3 linked regions of the Drosophila melanogaster genome follow. The protein of the gene in region 1 interacts with the protein of each later gene in a pairwise test. Each region holds a gene or a part of one and is shown in the gene's direction. Other genes may lie near its edges.

Region 1 (3,262 bases):
TGGTGGCCGCTTTGACCACTCGGCGGTCAGTTCTTTGTACAGCGATTCCACGTTGGCCATTCTTTAGATTGGTATATTGAAGCTTAAATGTTTTCTGCAAATTCCCAAGATGATTTTCGCTTTTTTTTAGAGATGGCAATTGTTGTAGGGTAAAGCGATAGGACAATCGTTATCGGAACAGTTATCGATTGTCAAGTTACCACAGGGCTGGGAATATTATTTAAGTGTAAGTTTAAGTTGAAAAATACATTTTTTAGACGAACTCTATATAGTTTAACAGTTTACAACTGAAAGCTTTATGATTTGATCCAAGGGGTATTGTATTTCCTTTGTGCTTTAATATCGATATATTTTAACAAACTATCTAATGGAGTTTAAATCTAAATTTTCGCATTTAAGCTCGGACTGTTTATTCAATTAGTGATTGTCTCAGTATAGTTAAAAATTTCGGGTATTGAAATCACGTCTATTTGACCTTGGGCATAAGTTTTGTGTCAAGAATAACTTAAATTATTAAGCGATTCAGAACTCTCATTCTTTGTGGGTCTTTAGATGGTACCGCAGTTGCGTGTTCGTGAAATAGCTTTTGGAGCACTTGGTGCATGGGAACGGTCGCTCTCCTGTGTGGCTCATCATGTGAATTCGAAGATGCGCATTCTGGGTAAAACGCCTTAGGACATTGGGAGCACTTGAAGGGGCGTTCGCCTGTGTTGATTATTAGATGCCTTTTAAGATTGGAAGCCAGCGTAAAATTCGATGTACAATGGGGGCACCGTTTTTCAGTGTGTATTGCAATATGTCCCGAAAGATGCGATACGCTCTTCAAAGCCTTTGCTGCTAAGCAGCAAGTGCTGCTTAAGTGCTGAGTTTATCCAAAACCTCGTTGGGCAATGAGGACATTGAAGCAGCTTATCATTATCACGTCCTTTATTTTGCAATCTATGGTTTTCACAACTATCATAGTCTTCGTCTATTACCTCAATATTGACTTGGCTATTGGATTGATCGCTGTCACAGTCCACGAACTGATCATCGTCTTTAAAGAGGCTCGTTCTACACTAGACAACATTCCCATTGGATCATGCCACTGCCTCGCCAATCTTCAACTACACTTTCGAGTTCGACAAAATGCTGAAAAGCACCTCCATCGATACTCGATTCCCCATCCTCGGAATAAGATACCTTGCGGAATCGGGATTCCTCCATTAACTAAACGTAAAATTATTAGCTCCTCTGGTGGGTTTTTCTAAACTCGAACGCATTTTGTGCATCTTGGCAGCAGGAGGTGCAAAATGTTTCGGGTAGATGATCGCCTTTTTCCACTTTGAGGCCAGTGCACTCGGAAATGATTGACGCTATTGAAGCTTCAGTGCCGTGCTTAACTTCAAAAATATTGAACTCGTTTTCACATTGCCCGAGGCAAATTCGGCACACCAACCCCAACTCCATACCTCCGAAATTGAGTTAAAAAATTTAGCGATCTCGCTTTCAGGTCGGATCGATCAATTTATTGTTTGTTTATTGTGTTAAAGATGCATGCTGATAAGTATCGATACTATCGTGCGGTTAATGGGGACGATAGGTACAACACCACTCACAATAAAGTATTTTTAGTGGAAAGTATAAAAAGAAGACTTCAATTAAAACAATAAATACAATACAATTACATTGGAAGTATTCTGATTGCATTGTGAATGTTGGCCACAAAGTATGAAAACTTTTTTCAGCTTTACTGAATTTAAATATTTCTTAACCATTTCGTTCGCTTTCAGAATAATATAATACCCAGAATGACTTCATAAATTTTATCACATCTTAGTTTGAATGTACACCTTTTAGCGATAGTTTCATGTTTCGGCCTGTGCTGCTAAGCGGTGATTCGCCTGCGCTTTCCAACACACAGCAAATTCGCATAAAAGCGAAACTTGGTTCTTCCTTTAAAAACGTGATACTTGCCTGATAGGATAGAAAGCCGAGATGTCCGACGAGACGAACGCCGCGGTGTGGGATGACTCCTTGCTGGTGAAGACGTACGACGAGTCGGTGGGACTGGCCCGCGAAGCTTTGGCCCGCCGCCTCGCCGATTCCACCAACAAGCGCGAGGAGGAGAACGCTGCCGCAGCTGAAGAAGAAGCTGGCGAGATCTCGGCCACTGGTGGGGCTACCAGCCCGGAACCAGTATCCTTCAAAGTAGGCGACTACGCCAGGGCCACCTACGTGGATGGTGTGGACTACGAGGGCGCTGTGGTGTCTATTAACGAGGAGAAGGGCACCTGCGTACTCCGCTATTTGGGCTATGAGAACGAGCAGGAGGTGTTGCTCGTGGACCTCCTGCCGTCCTGGGGCAAGCGTGTGCGTCGCGAGCAGTTCCTTATCGCCAAGAAGGATGAGGACGAGCAGTTGAGCCGCCCTAAGGCATCCGCTGGTAGTCATTCAAAGACTCCCAAGTCATCCAGAAGGAGTAGGATCTCTGGCGGACTGGTTATGCCGCCCATGCCACCAGTACCGCCCATGATTGTCGGACAAGGGGACGGCGCCGAACAGGACTTCGTGGCCATGCTCACCGCCTGGTACATGTCCGGCTATTATACGGGCCTCTACCAGGGAAAGAAAGAAGCCAGCACCACTAGCGGAAAGAAAAAGACACCCAAGAAGTAATTCCATCTTATCTCATCATCACATCACATCTTTTCGAAAGACTTGTAGATATTAAGAAAACAGAACGATTAAATTTATTATATTAAAGAGTCAGTATCGTCATGGTGGGATCTCGTTTCAATTGCTACATAAATGGAAAAAAAAAATGCCGAGGCAGGCAGAAATTTAGGTTGACATTCAATATGGCCACTTGAGAAAATCAGTGCTTCGATACATTTCGTAGCGAGCGGTTGAGTTTGTAGTATAACGGAATTTTCATAACCTTCGATAGATCGTAGAATGGCGATATTTTAGCTGGCAGTATACAAATCAGAAAAGAAAAAAAACGGATATTTTGATTGGTAAGCAGACTTTCTTACACTGCAATAGATTTCTTTAACTTTGGGTATCGTGTAGCTGTTTTAAAATCAGAAGCTGAAAAATTTTATTGATAAAAAATAAGATATAATGATAAAGAGAGTACATGGTAGTATTGCCTAATTAACAAACTAGCTAAAAATGCGCTTGGACCTTTTAACCGTCCATATTCAACACTGCCAAATGCATCCTTTATTTTCACAGGCTTACGATTTGAAATATAAGTGGTAAATCCTTCTCTTTTGCA
Region 2 (6,292 bases), on another chromosome or scaffold:
GTAAATACAATTTCAGTGCATAAACGGGAAGGAAGAGATAGATATATAAATCACAATGGTTAGTTCTTCAGTTTGCGTTTGCTTAATGAGCGGTATATATCATATTATATTATATTATATCGATTCGTGTGAAAAAAATACAAATTACACTGCTCGCGCTTGCAGCTCATAAGCCCACCCACTCTCGACTAAAACTATAAGCTACGCATCTCTGCTCGCTTGTTTTCGTGTACAAAACATTTCAAAGGGGCCGGGAAGGGATCGCTATGTGATGGTGTCTCGGGAACAGGGGTATGGTCGAATCAAAATCGAATCTGCAGTACTGCGTCTGGGCAGTATACGTTTCTCGCTCTTTTTGCGTTCAAGTTCATGTTTCTATGGAAAGCGCGACTATTTCGGCGACTACTTGACCAGCGGCCGCTTGCCGTTGTCCGTATCGCAGGCGTTGCTCTTGTACTTGTTGACCTCGGCCAGGTACAACGACCAGAAGTCCTTCGGGTCCACGTCGCTCTCATTGGGCGTCTTCACTTTGGCCACTACGCCAGTTTTGAGAACTTTTCCGCCGCGACGTCGTCCCACGATGGGTGGCGGCGGCGCCAGCTTTCCGGCCGCCGCGGCAGCAATGTACGGCGCCGCAGCACTGCTGGCAGCTCCCAATGCAATGGCCGGCAGTGCAGGCCCTGTGGAGGCCGCCTCCGGCGGAACCAACTGCTGCTGCAGGACCTCTTTGACCGATGGCTGCATCAACTGGCTGGTCGCTTGCTGCTTTTGGCCCTCCTGCATCTTCTTAAACAGCTCCATGAACGAGCCGTCGTTGGCGAAGACAGGATGCGATGGTGGCTCAGGCTTTGGCGGCGGATACACTTTGCCCTCCCTGGCCAGTGCTTCGCGCAGCTTCTGCTCCATTTCGCGGTGGATGCGCTCCTTGTCAAAGGGCTCGTCGGTGTCCAGGTTGTAGTAGGCGCCCACCGCGGACGCGGCACTGCTCTTGCCAGCCAACTGGACTTGATTTGTGGCGGCGGCAGCTGCAGCGGCTGCCTTCTGTACGGCGCTTAGCTCCGATTTACTGGATGATGATGCATGGTGGCCTCTTCGTTGACTGTTGTTGGATCCATGGCCAATGTCAGAAGAGGACGGCGATTCCGAGCGTCGATAGTGGCTGGAGCGCCTTGAGTGGTCCCTATCGCGATCACGTTCGCGATCCCTAGAGCGATCTCGGGAGCGATCTCGGGAGCGATCTCTGGAGTCGCGGTCTCTGTGGTAACGGGATGACTGCCGTTTCTGGTGGCGGCGACGCTGGCCAAAGCGTTCGGCGGAGCGGCTGCGACTGCGGGAACGCGAACGGCTGCGACTGTAGCGACTGTGCTCTCGTCTGGAGGATCCGGAACCAGAGCCACGCTCGTAGTAGCCGCGCTGATGGCCGCGTGCGGCGCGCCGCTGGTGGCCGTCCTCCTGATCCCGCTGATAGTAGGGCAGGCGGGCCGCCGACATGTCGGGTGTGGATGTAGTGATGATCTGCAAATCGAAACTGTGCCGCGTTAAATCGAGCAGTTGACAGAGGCGCGTTTACGAAATACCTATACACAAGATCTGTATACTTTGTAATCAGTTAGCGTTTTGTTCTTTTTTTGGATCTGCGTCTCGGTTCGGTTCGGTACGGTTCGATTCTATTCTTTTCTGTTCGGTTTGGCGCGTGTCAGAATCTTGAATGGAGAACCAAGAATCGATAATCGAGAATCTAGCATTATTTTCGAGCACTGTCTTGACTTGGCTGGCGCTGGCTCCTTGACCGGGCCGAATCAGAATCAAAATCGGGTTGACTTGGGTGACATTGGGTACGGATTCGGGAGCCGGAACTCCAACCAAGTGGACGGGCGATAAGTAATGCTCGCGACAAGTAATGCTTCACTGCGCAGACGCGACTCTTATGCAATTTGGATACTCAGACTTGGATTTGGATGCATTGATTTGATTTGGACTCGATTTGATTTGATTCGATTCGATTTGATTGGATTGGTACTTGGCTGGCAGATTTCTGTTTGATAAAATGAGAAATGGTAATTTACTTGTTTGCGATGTCCGCTGCGGTGGAAGTGGATGTGGAAGGTGGTGTTGCTCCAACGTTGCGGCTACGTTACGTTATCATCCGTGGATGTTGTTCGTGCTGCTCGCCGTTGCTGCTGCTGTGGATGCGGAGGAGTCCTTCCGTTTGGCTGGCTACGTGCGAATCAGTGCGATTCAGCTTGTTAGCCTTTTAGCTTTTAGTGGCGATTTGTGCTTAACTCTTGACTGTTTGCGACTCTGAAACGTATCGGATTTTCGGATTCGCCTGCATGGAAAAATGACTTGAACGCATGAATACAAAACGTTACTCGAACCAGGACGCGCTGTGCAGGGGGTTTGATCTGATCTGATTTGAGTTGAGTTTTCTTTCTGGCTACAAAATAGTGGCTACGTTAAGGGGACTGTTTCTGTTCGCTTTCCGTTGCAACCCCTCGGTGGCGGGCGGTGACTTATGTAACCCTGGGGATCCGTACGCCCATTCGGTTACGGATCCATTTGGTGGGGGCCAACTTACGCAGGAAGATGCAGACCCGGCCCGCCCCTCATCAAACAACTCACCCCGACAGACATGACTACCCCGAGTGCATCAGCGAGTTATGTAACTTGTACTTTTTTCTTTCTTCTTTTCCTGCTGCCCGAGGAATTCGCCAGCGGAAGTGTGTAAGTGCGCTAGTGTATGTGTGTGTGTGTGCGAGTGTTGCGATTTGGAGTGGCGAAGTGGCGCCGCGCGGCCAAGTTAATTCTTGCTTTGGATGGCATCGATCGGTGCCTTGGCTTACGGTCTGGTGTACTTGATAAGGTGCCAAAACGAAAAACATACCTTTGTTGTTACGAGAGTACGACGAAAAATTTTCAACTGGCGAGAATCTCACGAGCCTGGCGATAGCTATAGCGATGGGCTGGCTCAAAACTATCGAGAGCTGTCACGGTGACAGCTAGAGCCAGGCTGCCAGATCGCTCAGCTATTGCCTAGTGTTCGCTAGAGTTGGCCAGTGTTGGCCAGCGTGCGATTCGGAATGGAGTCGCGAGTCCGAAACTGCGACACGCGCAGGTAAATGGAAAACACAAGTCGCCTCCTCCGCCGCTGATGATGGGAAGCAATTATCCCGAGCACGGGACCAAGCCGAGATCCGCCAAATACCACAAACAACAGAACCACCGAGTGGTGCGCAAGCAGCCGCCGCGTCCCGCTGTTAGCGACCGCCACAACATCTACATCACCAGCAAGACAGACTTTAAGGCAAGTAGAACTGAACTCATGCTGGATGGTGAATCGCCCATGTGCTAAGTGACAGAGTCCATCTCCTTGACAGGCCCAGCAGCGCCGCTGCGAGGAGCTGATTAACTCCGGCGCCCACGAGATCTTTCTGCATTGCATGGGCTTCTCCGTAACCCGCGGCCTCAATATCGCCCTACGCCTCGTCCAGAATTCTGACGGCGCCCTTAGCTACGCCATCAACACCTCCACCGTTCAGCTGGTGGACGAACTGCACCCGCTGTGCGATGCCGAGGACATAACCTTCCGCCAGCGCAACAACTCGGCCCTGCACATCAAGATCCTCAATAACAGTCTCTTCGACATCGCCGTGCCGCAACCGTCGCAGTCCCAGACGCAAGCCCAGTCCCTGGGCCAGTTCCGAGGCAAGGCGAAGGCCAGGCAGTAGCATGTTCAAACTCTCGGAGCTGGTGCGCTGGCTGGGGCTCACCGAGTTCGAGATTCTGGTCAATCTGTGCGGCCTGCTGGTGTTCACCATCACGCTGACCGTCAAGCTCCATCTGCAGGCCAGGGCCGGACCCGGTGGCATACTCCCGGAGCCCATGGGCGACTGGTTCACCGTCTTCAGCCCCCTGTTCTTCATCGACATCTGCAACGCGTACTTTTGCGTCATTGTGGGCATCCGCATGTACCTGGACTCTAACAACAAGCGCAAAGCCCTGCATCGCTTCATGTGGAGCACGTATTTCCTGGTGCTCATCGCCATCTTCAAGTACCTGCTCTGCCTGAAGCTATCCAGCAAGACGGGCCTCGAGTATTCGGAGGTCTTCTCGCCGATCTTCGTTCTGTTGCAGCTCGTGGCTGTGCGCGCCTGCCAGTTGCCCAACTCCATCTAAACCATAGACGTAGTATAGCCCTAGTTCCGTATTATACATATATGTAACTATTCTGAAAGCCTTTAAATCATTGGATTGGTAGTTATCTGTATACGCAATGTGGTACAATAATTTTTAAGCGGTACGAAATTTATCTTTCTGGATATAGCATATCTAATATATACGAATTATATCTGATCTGATTCGGTATGAAGGACATACATACATACATATGTTGTTGTGCTTTTTAATCAATGATCTAATGATCTACGCATTATAATTTTTTTAAAATTTCCAACAATTTAATTTGATGTACAAATTCAAAAACTATTAAGCTGATATGAATTTCTTCTAGCTGTTGTTGTCAAAAGCCACATTTTTTTTAAATTATAAATGAAAAATAACATTTAAGCTCATTGTTTTAATTTAATCTAAGGTCTTTTTAAACAATTTTTATAATTGGCAATTTAGTTTTTATTCGATTTTTTTGGAAGTTTCTCTTGAGTCCGAACGCCAGTGTTGGACAACATGTGTGGTGGGCCTGCGATCAGGTGGCAGCCCCAAGGGAAACTGATTGCTCAGCTCCGCCCGAAACGAATCGAAACAATAACACAAACTGTTCACTTAGTCCGGAATTCTTGGAATCCAGCAGCACCATGTCCACACTGAACCGCCCTAAATCCCCGCACACGCCCACCGCCATTAAAAAGGGCGAGAAGGAGGACAGCTTCTGGGACAAGTTCAGCACTTTGGGCCGCAAACGCGGCACCCGCGAAGGTAAGTCCACTTGATGATTGGAGCTCTCCAGATGGCTATTGTCGGCCAGGAATTGATGGGTATCCCAGAGTATTCCATTCTTGGACCCCTGAACCTCCGAAAAGTGGCCCAAAATGACCCAATGGATCCTCCCCCTGCGCACTGGAAGCTCTTCTGGGAACAGATGTGCGGATGCGCTGATTAATCAGAACATTGCGTCACTGTTGACCCACACAAGCAAACGGCGCTGATAATCGAGAGTGTGTGCGTTTGTGTGAGATGGCCTTGTGTCGTCACCGTTTTTGTTTACCTTGTTGATACCCTAAATACGCATCCGCTTGCTCCATTTGCAGTGAAGAAGGTCCAAGAGGAGGGCAAGTACGCCATCGACTCGCCTGGATCGCCCAGCCAGTATGACATCCCGCCGGAGGACTATGCCCTGCGTAAGTGCATTCGTTTTGAAGGGGCATCTCCTCGTATACCCATCGCATTTCCCACAACTCATCACATTTGATCCTACAGGCGAGCACGAACAGCGCGCCGTCATCGATCCACAGTCCATCAGTGATCCCCAGGTGATAAAGCTGCAGCGCATCCTCGTCGACTGGATCAACGACGAGCTGGCCGAGCAGCGCATAATTGTTCAGCACCTGGAAGAGGACATGTATGACGGCCAGGTGCTGCACAAGCTGTGGGAGAAGCTCACCGGCAAGAAGCTGGACGTTCCTGAGGTCACCCAGTCAGAGCAGGGCCAGCACGAGAAGCTCAACATCGTCCTGAAGGCCGTCAACCATGTAAGTAGTAGTAGTTTATGTTTTGCAGGATTTAAAAATCGGAGTTACCAACATTTAATTATTTATCCATTCTTAAAGTCGAATAGAATAATTTTTATTCGATTTACAATTAACATTCCCTTTTCTCGCGATATAAGAATAAATTTTATCCTTGCCCACACCCACAGACACTCGGCTTTCACCAAAAGATTCCCAAGTGGTCGGTGGCCAGCGTGCACTCGAAGAACATTGTGGCCATATTACATCTGCTGGTGGCACTGGTGCGTCACTTCCGGGCGCCCGTTCGCCTGCCAGAGAACGTGTTCGTGACCGTCGTGATTGCGGAGAAGAATGCGGGCGTGCTGAACGCGCAGAAGTTCCAGGAGCAGATAACGTCCGAGTACGACGACCTGGGCATGCGCTGCGAAAAGGACGCCTTCGACACGCTGATCGACTGTGCGCCGGACAAGCTGGCCGTGGTGAAGAAGTCCTTGATCACGTTCGTGAACAAGCACCTGGCCAAGCTGAACTTTGAGATCAGCGATCTGAACACGGACTTTCGCGACGGCGTATACCTGTGCCTGCTGATGGGCCTGCTCGGTGGATTC
Region 3 (8,923 bases), 6.1 Mb from region 1:
TTGCTAAAATCGGTAAGACTAAACCAAACCGAACAAATTTTTTGATAACTGTAATGAAACGGAATACTAGATCAGATTAAATTCAAATGATGTGTCAAATAAGGAAAAACATATATGTACGTATAAACTATGTACAAACTTTGTATCTATGTATATGTATAGGTCCAGAATCTAAAGCTTTACTTACAGTTGCGATCAGAAGAACATTTGAAACTTGCAGATATTTTACTAGTAGATTAAATTATGTATAGGAAATTTATAAGCGAAATTTGGCTCCATTGGTTTTGTACATATGCTTTATTCTAAAGACTTTCTTGTTTCAACAAGGAAGAGTTATTATTTTTAATGCATTTTCTTATATATATAAATTATATACTATTACTGCAAGGGTATATAAGCTTCATGTTTTTTTGGAAACTAAGAACAAAGAACTAAGCTTATTATTAATTTGGCTAGATCAAAAACTTGTATATTTATAAGGTCGGAAATGCTTTTACCTCTCTTATACTTTTCTGCTAATCTAGTATACCCCTTCAATCTTACGGGTAGTATACATATTCTTTGATTTAAGTCCCTAAGACATTGCATTTAATTTAAAAGTAGAAAGAAAATAATATTAGTTTTTTTTTATGCTATTTGCAGTGTTATATTTCTTCAAAGACGAAACCACTACTGCAAATCTGGTAAGTTACCAAGAAAAACTAGATTCAAAATTCTAAGATCCTTTTAAAGAGTTGATAGAGAACCTATGAAATATTCTAACTGGTACCCCGAAACGATATATTATTTCCTCTCAGTCTAGTTGTTAGTTATATTACTTACCAGCAAGTCGAAACAGTGGACCGAAATGGGGGAATCGAGAGTTGACCCGAATTGTGTTGTTTGCCAATGGAGAACTCAAGAAACGATCCTTGCAAGTGTCGTTTTTCCTCGTTTGCTGACCGACACAGATCCTGTCGATATGATTCAGTGTCCAAAGCGCGAATAACTTTCGGCACTAAAGCAATTTACATAAAATGTTTATTTGGGTATAATTTTGAAATGTGCTCGGAGAATTCTCGTTTTTAAGTGAACTTCGATCGGTTGAGTGTCATGTCGGTGATGTTGAGATTTCTATAATACACAAATAGATATTTAAAAGGTCAATAATGCAGGAGTACTGCTATTAAGAGTTTTCTGACTATAATTCCCCATTCAATGAAAAGCTCTTGAAATAATCATATAAGGATACAAACATTTTTTAAAGCAAAAAATAGCACTTGTGTATTTATGTACTCCTTTCACATTTATTCACCGTGAGTTTTCTCCACTGAATAAAAGTGAGCAAGAAAAAGTGATTGCCGCATATTTCCCACGTGGTGGAAAAGTTTTTTCCAACAATAAAATGCCAAGCGGTGCATAAAGTTCATAGAAAAGTTTTCTCTTTTGTTGATTGAAAATGTCGCTTATTGTCGCAGGCAAAACACCAGAAGAAATCAACAATACAAATGTTGTTGAGAAATTAAAACTAACAATAAACCAATAACGAATTCCAATGCTCAATTAATGCTACAATAATTTAAGTTTACTGATCAAATCAAAATCACTTTAAAACTTTAGAGCTAAGTCAACAAAATCGATTTATTTTCCATTATTATAATTTTTGCATCAAACATAAAATAAAAATTTTAAATATAGATTGCCATGTTCAGTCCAAAAGATGTGTTTCAATGGAAATACAATTTCCAGAAAGATGAGATGCCTTCTCCAAGGATACTCCTCCGCCGATAATTTGCGACCAATAGGGTATTAAAGTCACGGATGTAGAACGATGCCAAAAGAGGCCTTGCAGTTCTCCATAAAGCTGAATCGCCCTCCAGTTAGATATGCAAAAATGCTGTATGACCATGTAAAATCGAATATAGTTGATCAATCCGCTGGCCACAAAGGTCAATATCCAGGGCAAAGCAAATAACAGGAATATATTCCGCGGCAGGGTTCCGTTTTTCAATGCGGAATTCTGTTTTTTGATCCAATTGTTTTTCACTTGCTCTGCAGCTGTTGTCGTAGTTTTAAGGATTCCTTTCTTTTCCATCGATACCTCACTTTTGCCACTTTGCAAGTGTCGTGAGTACCAAACTCCGATCATAGATAGTAGTGAATACATTATGGCCTTAACCAGCATCCAGTGATTGTATTTATAGCCCAATTGAAGCGTTAGATTACGATTCACGGAGGGATAGACCGTTTTTAGATTGGCATTCGCCTCGATGACCGGCTGAAGATTTGAGCCCAAGTGCAGGGATGTCAGCAGCGCAAAGTAACCAATGTCTCGTATTTTGGGTATGAACATGGTTCTCGAATTTGGAGTTCAAAATGAAAAAATTTTAAGTCGTTTTTTAAATTTTGTATCTAATTTTGTGTGACCTCAATGTGCTCTGACATTCCCAGTCTGATTGCTTAAAAAACGTTATATTATAAACATTTTTTGATTTTTATTTTAAATTATACGTAATTAAAATTACGTAATTAAACAATTAGGTAAATAATAAAAGATTTTATCGTTGTTTGTTATAAATTAATTTATTAAATTGAAAGGCAGCGTGCTGAAACTACTTAACTGCATCAACTTATTTTAGCGACATAAATTATTTGAAATTCCCGCCAGCTGGTACAGTTTGAGAGCAACTATTAGCTGTGCTAAAACCCCTGCATTTAAGTGCTTGACAATCTTGCCTTATTCCAACCTATTGGAAATATAAATTTCATATTAAAACAATCAACGGTACGATGTACATATTTTTTTATTGTAAAACAATATATTGTTAAGATTTCAAAAGGAATTAATTTTTTATTTTTAGTTCAATTGGTTGGAGTGCTTGGTAAATAGTTAGCACAGATAGCAACCTTGGTGTGAGCCTTCGCTAATATTTCGACATAAGATTTAAATACAGAAAATAATATTTAATTCTAACAATTATACCTTATTTCTGTGTGAAATTATGAAAAATGTAAACATTTCTCTGAATACAAATGACATTTCGTTACTGTAGGTTTTGTTCTGTGTAAATAGGTTTAATATTCACGGATAATTCGTTTGTAGTATATTTTAGTATATAATTATTCGCGTATGATGGATTTTTTGGCCGGCAATAAAAAAGTGTAAATTGTAGCAAGGCAACCGAATCGTTTCAAAATTTTGTCCAAAAAGTGGAAATTTACGCGAAATGGAGCGCGAAATAGCGCACAGTTTAGCTGGCGGCGAGGAACGAAGTAGCGATGTGGCACCTGGACAGGTTAAGACCTTCGAGGAACTGCGTCTATACCGAAATCTGTTGAACGGATTGAAGCGCAACAATTTCGTGACGCCAACGAAGATTCAGGCAGCTGCCATACCCATGGCACTGGCCAAAATGGGTAAATATCTTGCATGCAACAGAAGATTATCAATAATAGTTGCTATATTAATCTGCAGATCTAATAATACAATCGAAGAGTGGAACTGGCAAAACTCTAATCTATGTTATAGCCGTCGTTCAGAGCTTTAATCCCAACATAAACCAACCGCATGCCATGATCGTGGTCCCAACTCGAGAGCTGGCCATTCAGGTGCAGGACACATTTTTCCATCTCTGCAAATCGTTTCGGGACTTTAAATGCTCTGCTTTCATCGGTGGCACCGATGTGGCCAAGGATCGCAAGCGAATGAATGAAAGTCGAGTCATTATCGGTACACCGGGACGTTTGCTGCATCTGTATGAGAATAGAGTATTCGATGTGTCCAAACTGCGACTGCTGGTGCTCGACGAGGCCGATCAACTTTATCAGACAAAGAGCCTGCAGCATACGGTCAGTAAACTCATTGAGGCAATGCCCAAGAATCGGCAAATAATTGCCTGCAGTGCCACATACGATCAGAATTTGGATGAGCGTCTGGCCAAGGTCATGGACAAACCCATGCTTATATCGAATTCCGAAAGGGCTACCGTTCTACTGGGCATTCGGCAGTTTGTCTACGAATTGCCACAGCAGAATAACAGTGTGGAGGAGATGCGTCTTAAACTGCAGATTCTTGGCCAGATCTTTAATCAGCTGCCTTACGAACAGGCCATCATCTTTGCTAGCTCACAAATGCGAGCGGATTCTTACAAGAACTATCTTACAGCCAGTGGTATCGATTGTCATTTAATTTCGGGAGCCATGGAACAATCGGAGCGTTTGCATGTTTTCGAGGGCTATAGAAACTTTACTATGCGCATCCTGGTGGCCACTGATTTGATGGCACGCGGAGTGGACTCCCCGCATGCCAACCTGGTTATCAACATTGATCCACCACAGGATCATGTCACCTATTTGCACCGCATTGGACGAGCTGGTCGGTTTGGCTCCAAAGGCATAGCCATCACGTTTATTGCCTCCAAGAAGGAGAGCCAGAGATTTAGGGAAATGTCAAAAAAAATCGCTACGGCTTGGTCGGTTCTGGAGTTTCCCAAGGAGCCAATGCCCAATGAATTCAATTTTTGGGATTTCGAAAAGTACAACTTTGATTATTACATTAAGGAAGAGAATCCGCTACAGGAAATGCCTATGCCTATTAAAGAAAATAGAAGTAAAGAAAATGTTGATGCTTCTTCAGTTGACTTGGAAAATCTTCAAAAGGATCAGGATGGCAAAAGGAGAGATCCAGACAAACTACCAGTGGCCTTAGAAAATGTTGAAACCCAAAAAGAGTTGGAGCTCGAAAACTTACCAGAAAGTTCACATAATAATAAGAATCTTAGGGTCAAAGAGAAAGAAATTGTAAGGCAAGGAAAGCTTAAAGAAACTAATTCCAAAGCTGGAGGTTCTAAAACGAACAAGACGGAGAGAAGGAAAAAATCTAACACTCCATCAAAGTTACAGAAACAAATAACTGAAGTGCAGCAAACACCAGAGATCACCGTAAATAAATACTATATGCAAGAAGACATACAACGAACAGCAGACGGCAAAGAGTATCATCCTGTTAATGGAGCGGGAAACCACCAGGTTCCGTCAAAATCTAATCAAAAACCGGTGGAGTTTATATCTCCCGAATTGACACCAACCCTAACACCATTGGAACTGACCCAGGAGCCGTCTCCAACCACAGTGACACCACCTGCACCGCCAGCCAACTCGATTAACAACAAAACCTATTGCCTAGCTGCTCCAACGCAAACCAGTTCGATGACCATACAGAACATGGTAATATCGAACACGGTGGACGATGCCAGTAGCATCAGTTCGGATAGCATGGTGGTATGTGGCTATCATAGCGATAGGTCCTACGACACATACTATGCAACCAGTGATGAGGAGGAGATCTGGAATAGATTAATGTCGAAACAAAGGCGTCAGCTGAAGAGCAAGAGAGGCCATGGAAAACGGCGTGTGATACTATACAAGAAAGTATTTCCTAAACTAAAGGCGAATGTTAAACGCAAGCTTAAAAAACGGATGAGCTCGTCATGCAGATCCAAAAAAGCACACCATTTGCGAAAACGTCATGTATACAAAAATATATCACTTTTGCCACACATGAATTTGTGTCATCTGCTTCAAAAATTTACAAATCAAGAGAGATTTTTGAAACGGCTCCACAAATATGCAAAGAATCAATTCATTGACAATGCGAGGGTTGGCTTTTTGCTGGATAAGCTCTATAAATCCATCCTGGAAATGTACTATAACAGTGCTAAGGAGAGGAAGAAGCATTTTAAGGAAGCTATGAAGGAGTCCCTAAAATCCATTGATAACTACGAGAGCCAAGAGTCTTCGGAATCAGAGGAGGAGGAGGAGGAGGAGAAGGATCTAAAGAACAAGTTAAGTGTTCATGTGACGAATCAGATGGACATACCACCAATGCCACAGGCCGCTGTTGAAATTGGTTCAGGAAGTGAATCGGATACGGAGGACTCGCAGGAATACGGCGAAGGCGAAGAGATCATTGTGGACGATGAGGACGATGGCAGCGATGGCGGGCCAAATTCATCGAGTGGTTTTGTAGAGAGTCAGGAGAGTGTTTCGTCTGGAATAGACACTTCCGTTTACGAAACGGAATCTACGGGCGCATCTGGAAATAATTCAAGTGCATTCTTTATTTCGGATGATGAATCAGATACTGAATCCTTAACAGATTCGGAAGCTGGAAGCAATGTCAGCGCGACAGGATCAAGCTCACAGCGATCTTCAGTAGCGAGCAGCACCTATGAATCTTCGGATGATGATTCTGTAACTGTAACCAATGTCAGTTCAATGCAGAACGCTCAATCATTGTGGTTGCAGACTTTCAACATGCAGTACCAATTCATTGCATCCCATGTGGCCAAGAATCTACAGAACTATTACTAAGTGGTTATGAATGAAAAACTAGTGAAAACTCAGGCATTAAAATTAAACTCAACTAATCACTTCATTCGGAAACAAAACGGATCAGTTCCAAGAGAGGCTGTATCAGTCTCTTTCCTTACAATTGTATATCGTAGCCAGTTAAACCGTTTTCTTAATTAGAATACTCAATGTCGAAATAGTTGATAGCATGTTGGATACCATGAATGTTTTTTTATGCAAGCAATAAATTGCAGAATTTGTTACCAAAAAAATAAATGAATTAAAGCAGGAAACTAACTATTTTGAATTTATTAAACAATAAGTTCATTGCTCAACTTCTTTGATTTCAAAATTGATTGTTTTTCATGTTTATTCGCTACATAATCGCATCAAACAAATTAATCCACAATGTGAAAGTTAAATCCCTTTAATCACTCGCAATGATTTATCTAAGAGATGGGAAAACAAACATTTTTCTTGGTTTCGGCAAGCCGGATGGATGAAGGTAAAGAAGCGGCGCCAACCGACTGCCGGGACATAAATCATATAGTCAGTGGGATCGGGATCGGCATCGACCATCGACCATCGGGCAACGGGCATCAGCTGTGTGGCAGACAACATTGTTGCACGGGCGCCGCTCACTTTGCAACTGACTGCAGAGGTGTTAACCCATTAATTAGCTGTTGTCAAAAGTCGTTCACTCGATTTTGAAAGCCACTCGAAAATCAGAATGGATTGTACAAAAATATGACATATATTTATGTTTTATTTATTTATTTAATGCATTTTGTGAATTATTTGTGCAACGAATGCCATGTTTGTCAGCAAATAAATGAGTTCTACTATTTTCTTTTTATACTCCACTGCTGTATTTAATTTTTAAAATACTTCGATTCATAAATAATTTATTTTTAAATTGATTAAATGCAGTTAAAATTTTTAAGTTTCCTTTTACGAGTTTTGTGTCCCCATTTGCGAGTGCTTCGCAATGGGTTAAGCGAATGAGACGGTCCACAGGCGGCATGCCGCGTCGGTGGCATAGTCAAAACATTCGCCCTGCGGTCGAGCACGCAAAAAGCCGGCATCTGGATGGTACTGCTCATTGGTCGTCGATCTGCAGTGCCCCAAGTGCCCCTCTTTTGGAGTGCAACACCCCTCCCCCCCCTGCGTTGCAAGTCCAATAAGGAGCGTGAGAAAACGCAAATTCAAAGCGAGCTGGAAGCGACAACATTTTATAGATCCTAGAGACATGGATAGCGTTGCATTTTGTCGCTGCCGCAGTGGCAGCAAACTCAATTCGATTAGCGATAAATGCGAGATGCGAAAAATGCTCGGCCAGCTGGTGCAGGTGTTAAAGTCTTATAATGATGTTAACATTTTTATGGCTCACAACAAAATAAACTAAAAATTTGTTCAGCGCAATAATATTTTTGCGGTCTCGTCGTCCATATATGGGGGCACCAGGCAATTGCCGCCGCGTTTTTTTTTGTGTTTTTCATCTGTGGGCCAAGTGGAACGCTCCAGGGGCCATGGGCAATTTGCAGATACTGATTCAGATACACCGGGCCGCACAAAACCTAATTAAAATTGCTGAACGTCGTGAAAATAATTATAGCGATATTAATAGAAAATTAAGTAAAATATCACATTTAGGATATTACAACAATTGCTTTTTAACATGAAGCTGCAAACGTAATAATTAAAATAAGGATATGAGCTTAAGATAGTCACAATGAAATTAGATAATTGATTAGTCAGCTACGATAGATATGCAAAATTTTATTTTATTGATAATTGGTATTGAATATACCAATAAACAGATAAAACGCTATCTTTGCTGACCTGAAAACCAAATAAATGAGGCACGTTAAGATGCAAGAATCCATTAGTCGCCCAACTGCTAATTAGAATTTATTGCTTATGAAATTATGATAAACGAAGTAGAGATCTCAATTAAGATAGCCAACGCGCTAATCAATTTAACTTAATCCTAGCCCTTGGCTAACCGAAGATTAGCAGCAGCTGAAGATATTACCTTCCCCCCCACCAGCCGCCCCCTTTTCGACCCCTTGGGGGTGTGGCTCAGCTCCGATTTATGTGACCGAATGCACAACGCCCGGCCACGCATTCATAAATAAAAGTCATCATTAATTAAATTTAGTATAAACAACATGGCATGCCTGCAATTATTCACTCACTCATTCACTCGCTTGTTGCTCTTTCGGCCCAAAACGCGACGACATGGCAACAAATAAAAAAAATAAAAAAAAAACATGAATAAATAAATAAAAACTAAAAGCGTAAGAAGCCAAAGGAAACAAAATAAATAAAATAAATAAGCCAAAAAAGAAACGATAGGAAAACGCACGCAATACGCGCCGGGCAAACAAAGCAGAAAAAATCGTTGACAAAAATGATCTGTGGGCAATTATAATGAATTATTTTGACACTTAGGGCCTGTGCAAATGCATAACTTAAATGCATAAACGTAATTTATGCAGTGCCCCACTGAAATGCTGTTTTATCGCATTTTAAATGTGATAAATAAAGTTCTGGGTTATGTTTTTTCATTTTCATTTTTTTCTTCTCTTAT

The links. The genes of interacting proteins can lie anywhere in the genome.
Region 2: the proteins of Smn (region 1) and Rpp20 interact in binary tests that used the Drosophila melanogaster proteins (3 or more experiments, as listed by UniProt).
Region 3: the proteins of Smn (region 1) and Gem3 interact in a two-hybrid assay, tested with the Drosophila melanogaster proteins (2 studies listed by BioGRID).

The regions. Positions count from the first base shown.
Region 1 is NT_037436.4:16,579,898-16,583,159, reverse strand, and holds Smn (survival motor neuron), read left to right. Parts: upstream 1-1,612; 5' UTR 1,613-1,708; intron 1,709-1,772; 5' UTR 1,773-1,977; coding exon 1,978-2,658; 3' UTR 2,659-2,762; downstream 2,763-3,262. Other genes in the region: Rpn12 (regulatory particle non-ATPase 12), read right to left, coding at 1-60. UniProt on the Drosophila melanogaster protein: Core component of the survival motor neuron (SMN) complex that plays an essential role in spliceosomal small nuclear ribonucleoprotein (snRNP) assembly in the cytoplasm, is required for pre-mRNA splicing in the nucleus and acts as a chaperone that discriminates target and non-target RNAs of Sm proteins.
Region 2 is NC_004354.4:19,741,378-19,747,669, forward strand, and holds Rpp20 (ribonuclease P protein subunit p20), read left to right. Parts: upstream 1-3,053; 5' UTR 3,054-3,151; coding exon 3,152-3,304; intron 3,305-3,377; coding exon 3,378-3,728; 3' UTR 3,729-3,729; coding exon of another isoform or gene 3,730-4,176; 3' UTR 4,177-4,521; downstream 4,522-6,292. Other genes in the region: CG18809 (uncharacterized protein), read right to left, coding at 403-1,491; CG33932 (uncharacterized protein), read left to right, coding at 3,730-4,176; parvin, read left to right, coding at 4,812-4,932, 5,265-5,354, 5,434-5,705, 5,873-6,292. UniProt on the Drosophila melanogaster protein: Component of ribonuclease P, a protein complex that generates mature tRNA molecules by cleaving their 5'-ends. Also a component of RNase MRP complex, which cleaves pre-rRNA sequences.
Region 3 is NT_037436.4:10,457,310-10,466,232, reverse strand, and holds Gem3 (gemin 3), read left to right. Parts: upstream 1-3,131; 5' UTR 3,132-3,206; coding exon 3,207-3,396; intron 3,397-3,454; coding exon 3,455-6,351; 3' UTR 6,352-7,152; downstream 7,153-8,923. Other genes in the region: CG32061 (uncharacterized protein), read right to left, coding at 1,688-2,332.